2 linked regions of the Tribolium castaneum genome follow. The protein of the gene in region 2 interacts with the protein of the main gene of each other region in a pairwise test. Links are inferred from orthologs where the notes say so. Each region holds a gene or a part of one and is shown on either strand. Other genes may lie near its edges.

Evidence for each region.
Region 1: the proteins of Ten-m (region 2) and cher interact in binary tests that used the Drosophila melanogaster proteins (3 or more experiments, as listed by UniProt). The link is inferred for Tribolium castaneum from reciprocal best matches to the Drosophila melanogaster genes Ten-m and cher.

Annotation. Positions count from the first base shown.
Region 1 is NC_087403.1:5,250,180-5,253,914, forward strand, and holds the start of cher (filamin-A), read right to left. Parts: upstream 2,949-3,735; 5' UTR 2,798-2,948; intron 1,369-2,797; 5' UTR 1,343-1,368; coding exon 943-1,342; intron 1-942. UniProt on the Drosophila melanogaster protein: Involved in the germline ring canal formation. May tether actin microfilament within the ovarian ring canal to the cell membrane. Contributes to actin microfilaments organization.
Region 2 is NC_087402.1:5,291,661-5,295,418, reverse strand, and holds the start of Ten-m (teneurin-m), read right to left. Parts: upstream 2,712-3,758; 5' UTR 2,411-2,711; intron 1-2,410. UniProt on the Drosophila melanogaster protein: Involved in neural development, regulating the establishment of proper connectivity within the nervous system. Acts as a homophilic and heterophilic synaptic cell adhesion molecule that drives synapse assembly.

The DNA.
Region 1 (3,735 bases), on a different chromosome or scaffold from region 2:
ATGACTGCATTTTTCAACAAGTGTAATTAAAAATGACGTCACTGAAAGATTTTTTACATTACATAATAGGGGGCACCTGTATTCTCGCAGAATGGTAGCGTTCAAGAACTGCGGTTTCAAAACGCGTAAAAATGCAAGAAATACGGTCGATTTGAAGCAAATAACAGTCTAGACGGAAAATATGATGCTTGGTATGCATCGGACTTAAGTAATTTGAGAAGAATCGAGAACGCGACCTCAAGTAATTGAAAACATCGTATCATAATGACAATTATCATTACTCTATCTGTGTATTTTTCTAAAGGCATTTGAAAATGACTGCGTTTGACCTCCTGATCTCCAATTTAATTTTATTTCTCATGTTATTACAGATCAAGCCGACTGGATGAACAGTATGATATATTGTTAAAAAAGAGAAAAGAAAGGCCTGATAGGATTAGTGGTCGAAAACGGGTTTAGAAATTGTCGGCTTTTTAGCCTTGAACGTCCGTTATTATTTAGAATGCTAGAAAAATGTTTGGAGACTACAATAACCGATCCGTTTATTTATAAATATGATAGCAAAAGCAATAATAATGACACGAATGCATTTGATCGGGTCAGCACAAACACAGTGAAAATGAATAATCAATTACCATATTTCCACGTTTGAGAATATTTTTCGCGGGATTTGGTGGGAATGATGTTAAACTTTATTTTTAGCACATCACACTGTAAATACGCGATAAAAGGAAACTTTGAGCAAATAATAAGAATAAACAGAAAAAATTGTTTTGGCGCGTAGGGAATTTGCGTGTTTTGTCGGTTCCGGCTGCGTTTTTAGGTTTTTCAGCGTTCGTGCCGGAAAAAAGCAACAAGAAGCATGGTATGTGGTCTGCTGCCGGAGGGTCGCAGGAATTCGAGAAAGAAGCAGAGAGTAGAGCAGGGCCGGTGTCCACTCACCGATATTAACAATTCTAATTCCCTCGTCGTCTTGGAGGAACTTGAGGGCCACCGAGACGTTTTCTAGTTTCTGGGACCGGAACGAGGGCTTCTTGTTGTGCTTAGGGAGACGTTTTCCTGCGAGGACTTCGATTAGGGTGATGAGTCTTAATCCGTCACTGAGGTCAGTCTCCAGGTTTCCGATGTGCTTTTGCACGGTCTTCAGGTGCTCGTTGGCCCATCTCGTGAAGGTGTTTTGTTGGATTTTTTTCCACTGTGCGTCTTCCGCCAACTCGCGCTCGGTCGTCACCATTTCGTCCTCGTCATTAAACTCACAATAGTCCACATCGCGCTGCATACAAGCCTCGACCGGTTGCTGCTGCTGGAAGTTGCTTTGGTAGGGACACTGTTGTTGAGCCATGCTGATCAAATTCACCTATGACCCCTCTGTAACACCATATACAACAAGCAATACTACCGACTCTTCGCATCCACGGCCCTTTTCACTTTCTTTTTTTTTAATAAAATGATAAAACCTTTATCAAACGGAAAATAAACAAAAAAAACTACCTATACTTATAAGTTATTTAATCTTTTAGTCTATATTAAATAAAAATATCCTCAAACACCCCAGCTTTTAAAAATAAATCAAACTAAACGAAACTTATACTAAAAAAAATACTTAACTGGACAATAATTAGTACAATTCGGCCAAATTTAACTAGGGACAAATTTTTACCAATGGCAAAAATTTCTGTACAAACTTTCGATTAACTTTATGTCACAAAAACATTTCAAATAAGTTTTTTAGACCCATTGGATACGATGCTACTAAAATAGTTAAAAAAAGTCGTTCAAACTTTAGAAAAATTTTCTAATGACCGCTGCAGTTCTTAGACAAAAAAATAAAGAACTGATCAATAGGGAAAATTAACAAAAACCTTTTATTATCAGAGGGCGACTGTGATGAGATTTTCTGTGGGGAAAAATCATGAGCCAGATTCGCCACTGGGTTTACCCATGTGTAGGCAGATGCAGGTAAGTAATCGCACTCATTCTCGAATATTTGAATCACGTTTTGTCATTCTCTGCAATGGTAAAAATACCAACTTTCTCAGTGACATTCCATCAAAGAAAAAAGCGGAAAGTCGAAAATCTCTTTTGCCCTTTTACGATGTTAAAAGAGATTTCATTTAATGAGGAAAACACATCTCTAGTCTATTTATATCGAACTTGTCCTGTATTTGAATGCCATCCAATTATTTTTCTTTATATATAAATAAACAAATTATCAAGGGCGACTCGAGTAATTCACATCTAATTGGTTTAGTTAAATTAAAAAAATATATGTATATTTGGTTGCCTAGTTTTGCGTTTCAAGATTACTGAAAAAGCGAAATTTTGAAGTTGTTCTTTGGAAGTCGTTCTGACGGATGTGGTTGCGGTGTTTTTGGTTTTTTATCTGACTTAAGAATGTAGTCGCACTAAATCTCAACAAATTTCAATTATAATACACTCTACTTGCTTTCCAATTTTTTTTAATTAAGCCAGATTTTTTTACGGTTTTACGATAAAAAAGCGCGTCAGTTAAATAATTTTATGTTCGCGGTGTTTATTGCAGTTAATAATGAACAAATAAATATGTTTAAGCATTATGAAGTAACGCTAATATTGCATGTAAACGTTCGGGAATTATAAATAGTTTCAAAATACGTAACTTTGAAAATAGATTTTTTAGAAAAATGTTTTTGGGTGTTAAAATTTTGGAGAGTACCGAGTAGTCTATATTAAGCGATTTGCGCGAATGAAAGACGATCAATTAAGTGCTCGCAATTAATTGAAATGCACCAGGGGGTGCGAATTTAATTGTACTCACTTAATTTATTAACGATATTATCTAGAGAATCCTCCGTAAAATCATTGCACTTTTATAACACTTTCGATGTAGTAGAAAGACTGAACACGACTCGAACTAAAGATATGTGTGAAACCAAGAATAGAACTCCGTCCATGAGTTTGGTTGTTTATAGATTGTCTTCAAACTTAACCCCACTTTTTTCAGTATTCAGCTCCATATTTTGTGTCACATGTCGATTTTTGTTAAATTTATACGAGTCTCCGACCTTTTTTACCTTAGATATTCTATCAAAATAACCCCGGAGTCGCAAATGGCCCACGCGATTGCTCGAGCGCCGATAAACGCACTTAAAATTCTTCACTGTCTTCAGACATATCTCCATAAAAACAACAAGAATCTTTGGCTCTTTTTGTGCCCCCGTCTTTTTACTGCCTTTAATTTTATCCCCCAAATCCTTCTCGCATTTTCATTTTCGAGATCAACAGTTACGCATGCAATTAAACTATATTTGACTAAATTGTGAGTAATGTGACCTGAAAACTAAGCTTCAGAGCCTTATATGGAAGTATTACGCGAGAATTTACATTCTATCTTGAATCTCACAATTACAGCAAACATATGTTGTTTTTTTCGCTTGTCCAAGTCTTCACAAACAACTTTATCACACCATTATTGGATCAAGTTTTATTGATAATTAGCGCACTATCCCATTTCCATAAAAAACATTTTTATTCGCTTCCCTTATCGCCGTAAAACCAGGTCGCGATTCGCAAACATCTCGAAAGGCGGAATAATTGAAGATGAAATAAACTTACTTTCAAAAGTGTGATTTTTTTATTAAAAACAGCACCCAAGAAGTTTATTATTAAAATGACGCATAGTCTAGCCCTAATACTAAATAAATAATACAAATGCAAATTATCTCATTCCTAATTAGTCTCTAGATTTGTAGTAAG
Region 2 (3,758 bases):
AAATTACACTTCCGTTCAGCAAAAATCAATCTGAATCAAACTGATTGCGAAAGAGCAGAATTTCAGCTATGCATTCTCTGCACTTCCAAATCACACTCTGGCGAATTCACTTGGCACGTTCATCCTTTTGAAGTTACCTCCGACGAAATAATTGCAAGAGTTTATGCGGTGTAATTACGCGATTCTCCGAATTGTTTAGATATTCGTTGCTCTGCTTCTCAATTAAGTAAAAGTGCGCGTTTTTATCAGATTTGTTAAACGTTTGTACGTGATAAGCTAAGCATTCAGTGGCGTAATTAAAAACGTTTTGTTGCTTGTTCCTGTTACTGATAATATTTATTTTGAGCTCCCCTCTGACCCGTGGTGTGAAAATAACGAAACAAATTACCACAAATATTTCTCGTTAAAAATTGTGCACAGCGCCTTATCATAATAAATCCTCAAGGCGTGCGTGCTTTCCGAGTTCGCATGTAAAGAAATGACCCAATTCGTGCTCTTATTAGAAAGAATTTTTTCCGTTTTAATAGCTTACAGACTAAAAAATCCGCCACCGGAATTACACTTAATAGAGCTTTCATAGAAAACTTCCAAGTCGGATTTGAGCTTTTGCTCAGTCGAAATGACTTTACAAATGGTCTCATTTATAAGGGACTCTGCCAAGGATCCAGTAATTGAATATATGTCACTAGTACTCCTGGCAAGCTCCCGACCAGCCTAAGAGATCTAATGACTAGATCCTGCGCCAAACAGCTACTAAATTGTGATTCTATATCGGAAATTGGCGCATTGCAGCGGACATTAACCAGTATTTGTGCAGACGCTACTCCACTTCTAACAGGGCATTTTAAGGACAACACTATGTTATTAATAATCGGCCAATTATGTAAAATTACTACTTATCGAAGTGAATGAGAATTCGCAACTGTTGTAGTCGAACACAAATTGAAAAGCTCATTTATTTATAGCGCGCTTTTCACGACAATCATCAATCAATTATCTACAAAGTACACAGGAATTTGTAGCAGCGTTAAATCTTTCAGTGAGGATGATTATTTCAGCTGTTAAAATTTCGAAGAAGACTAATGACAGGTTTCAAGTAGATATTTTGTGGGAAAGGAGTTTAAAAAGAGCGCCCTGTGCATATTATAATTTAATAGACATGAGAATGCTTTATGGCGGCTGCTTTGTTCTAATAATCAGTGGCATACCTGATCATAATTACATATTGCCAACGCTGACATGCAATTACTTTTGTCGATAATTAACGGTCAGTGTAGCAAAGGTTCGTTTACTTCCGACAATTATTACGGAGGGAGACAATTATTCGATTATTGGAATATTTGAACAGGAGCGAAATAGCTCGAAACAGTCTTTCGTTTACTAAGTAGCTTAACTAGTTTTATCGAGTAATTAAGTCGCATTAGTTTGGTTGTTTACTAAAGCAATTATGTCAGGAAGTTTCTATAATAATTTTTAAACCGCGCTTAAGGGGAGGATTCAAAGTTATTGAAGTAGTGGTGAATGAAAAGTTTATTACAGCAAAGTCTGGAGGAAAATGAGTCGGCTTTCAGCTATGCACCCTGAAAGTTGATAAATATTTGAGAACGTTAGGAATCATCGGCAAAGTGTGAGTTTAAAGACAGACGACTTGACAAGCAATTTGTGTCTGTAAAATCCCGAATACAAGTGAATATAATTTGAAAAATTGCCTCGATAAAGAAAAAAGCTCGGTGATGGATGCGGAGGTGTCTTTATTGATAATTAATTACGAGCGTCGCGTTAATGAAATTTTTTCTATAATGGAAGGGTTGTCGAGGGTCGCACCGGAAAAAACTCCTTGAAGCTAGTCCCGAATCAATCTCAATCTAACAATAGGGCCCAATTATTCACACAATTGCAATTACGAAGCTGGAAAATAAATTAAACACACACACAAGCCTCATTTTATGAAAGGAGTAAATTTTGGTGTGCTGTCAGTGAGTTTTGGCACGAAGCCAATCGTTCCTGTCTGATATGAACTGGAAATCGATTTCGTCCAAAGCGAAGTAAAAGCCACCCCCGCGTTAGTGGCAGAGTTTAAAAGCCCGACCTGGAAAAATAGGATTATGGGCGAAAAGTATTCACGAATAGCCGGAAGGAAGTCGAAAAGTTAAAACGGACAGGAAGTTGTGTTGACACAGGACCGACTCCTGCAAGTTTACGTTTGTGTAATTTGCGTTAATCGTCCCGGTTTCCTAACCGCATTCGTCCAAATTTATAAACAGGAGGAAACTGCCGACTTCGGCGTGATATTCGAGGAAATTGAAACAGCGAACAGCGCGCTGATAATTGAGATGAGTTTTTGAACGGTTCGCACGCGATGTAATTAAACGGAATACATCGGCACGTGATTCTGAATGTGGAAACTCACCAGCCACGGTGGTAAATTTTTTAGCCGCTGAAGGCACGACACTCAGTGTCGCTCCCTCGCCGACTGGGGTTCCATCGGAAAAGCCACCAAACCAGGAAAAACGAAAAAGACACAGTCACCAAGTCACAGAAAACCGGAAAAACGAAACTGAAACACACCGCGTTGTGGTCGCGCCGGAGCGCGATTTGTTGATAAAGCGCGACCGCTGAGGCAATGCTTTGTTTATGTGGGAGTGGATGTTTGGCGACGAAACCACTTTCCAAGACAGCTCGTAACGTACTGTCAAACGACGAACGAGCGGATCGGAGCAGGCCCACCGGGTCGATGCGCGGTCTTCTAGTCCTGCGCCTGGAGCGTCGCCCCTGGCGGTGGACGTCGACACTAGGCAGGATAACGGCGTCGAAAGTCGCTATCCGACGCAGGATCCATCCATCTGCGACATGTATAATGCAAAAGAATAAAACATTCATTTAAATAATTAAAAAGTACACAGCAGGTAAACGAACCGGGCTTGATTCACAGATGTTGGAGCTTTCCTGATGCTAAAAGATAACTTTAAACTTTTGGAGTTTGTATGCAAATTAAAACCTCATCCCTGGAAGAGCTACATGCAAGTCGGCTGCCTGAAATATGAAATTATAGAACCAACTTAAATAAAAACAACCCAACTTCCGAACAACTCCTCGAATCCTTCCTCCAGTTATATACGAATTAATTGGTCTGCGGAATGCGGACTCATATTTTCGAACTTCATTAATTACTGACTTGAGCCGAGTTCGACCAAAACCGCTTCCCAGGCACAAGCCAAGAATTGTTGAGGTGAGAGAGAAAAACCGACACGAAACTTCACTGACAATATTAAAACTTATAACCGTCACTCCAACATCCCTTCGAAACCTTCAACCAGCCCATCATCATTTGCACATTTAATATAAAGGAAACAGATTTTCAAAAAATAAAAAAGCACTTGTTTCACCAAACGCATCATTAAAATCTTTTTTACCGGATAATTTCTAAAGAACCGGAGAAGCTTTTTGAACTAAAGTTTTTGCTGCAAACAAGAAGAAAAACTGTACGTTAGTACTGCATTTATTTCATTTTTTGCACAAAATTTAAACCAAAAAGCAACAATTAAACGAACGCAAAAAGTTGCTTCAGATACTATATGTACTTAAAAGATTGCCAATAAAGTGCTAGACATAGTTATTTTAAAATAATGTTCATTCTGTACGTATATTTGTGACTGTTATTTAGCATTAGCAAATGTATTTATCGTTCAATTTGTTCCCTTTTTAGAAGGACAGGCAGTGCGAATAAAATAAATATTTATTGTCTCTTTCTCAATTTG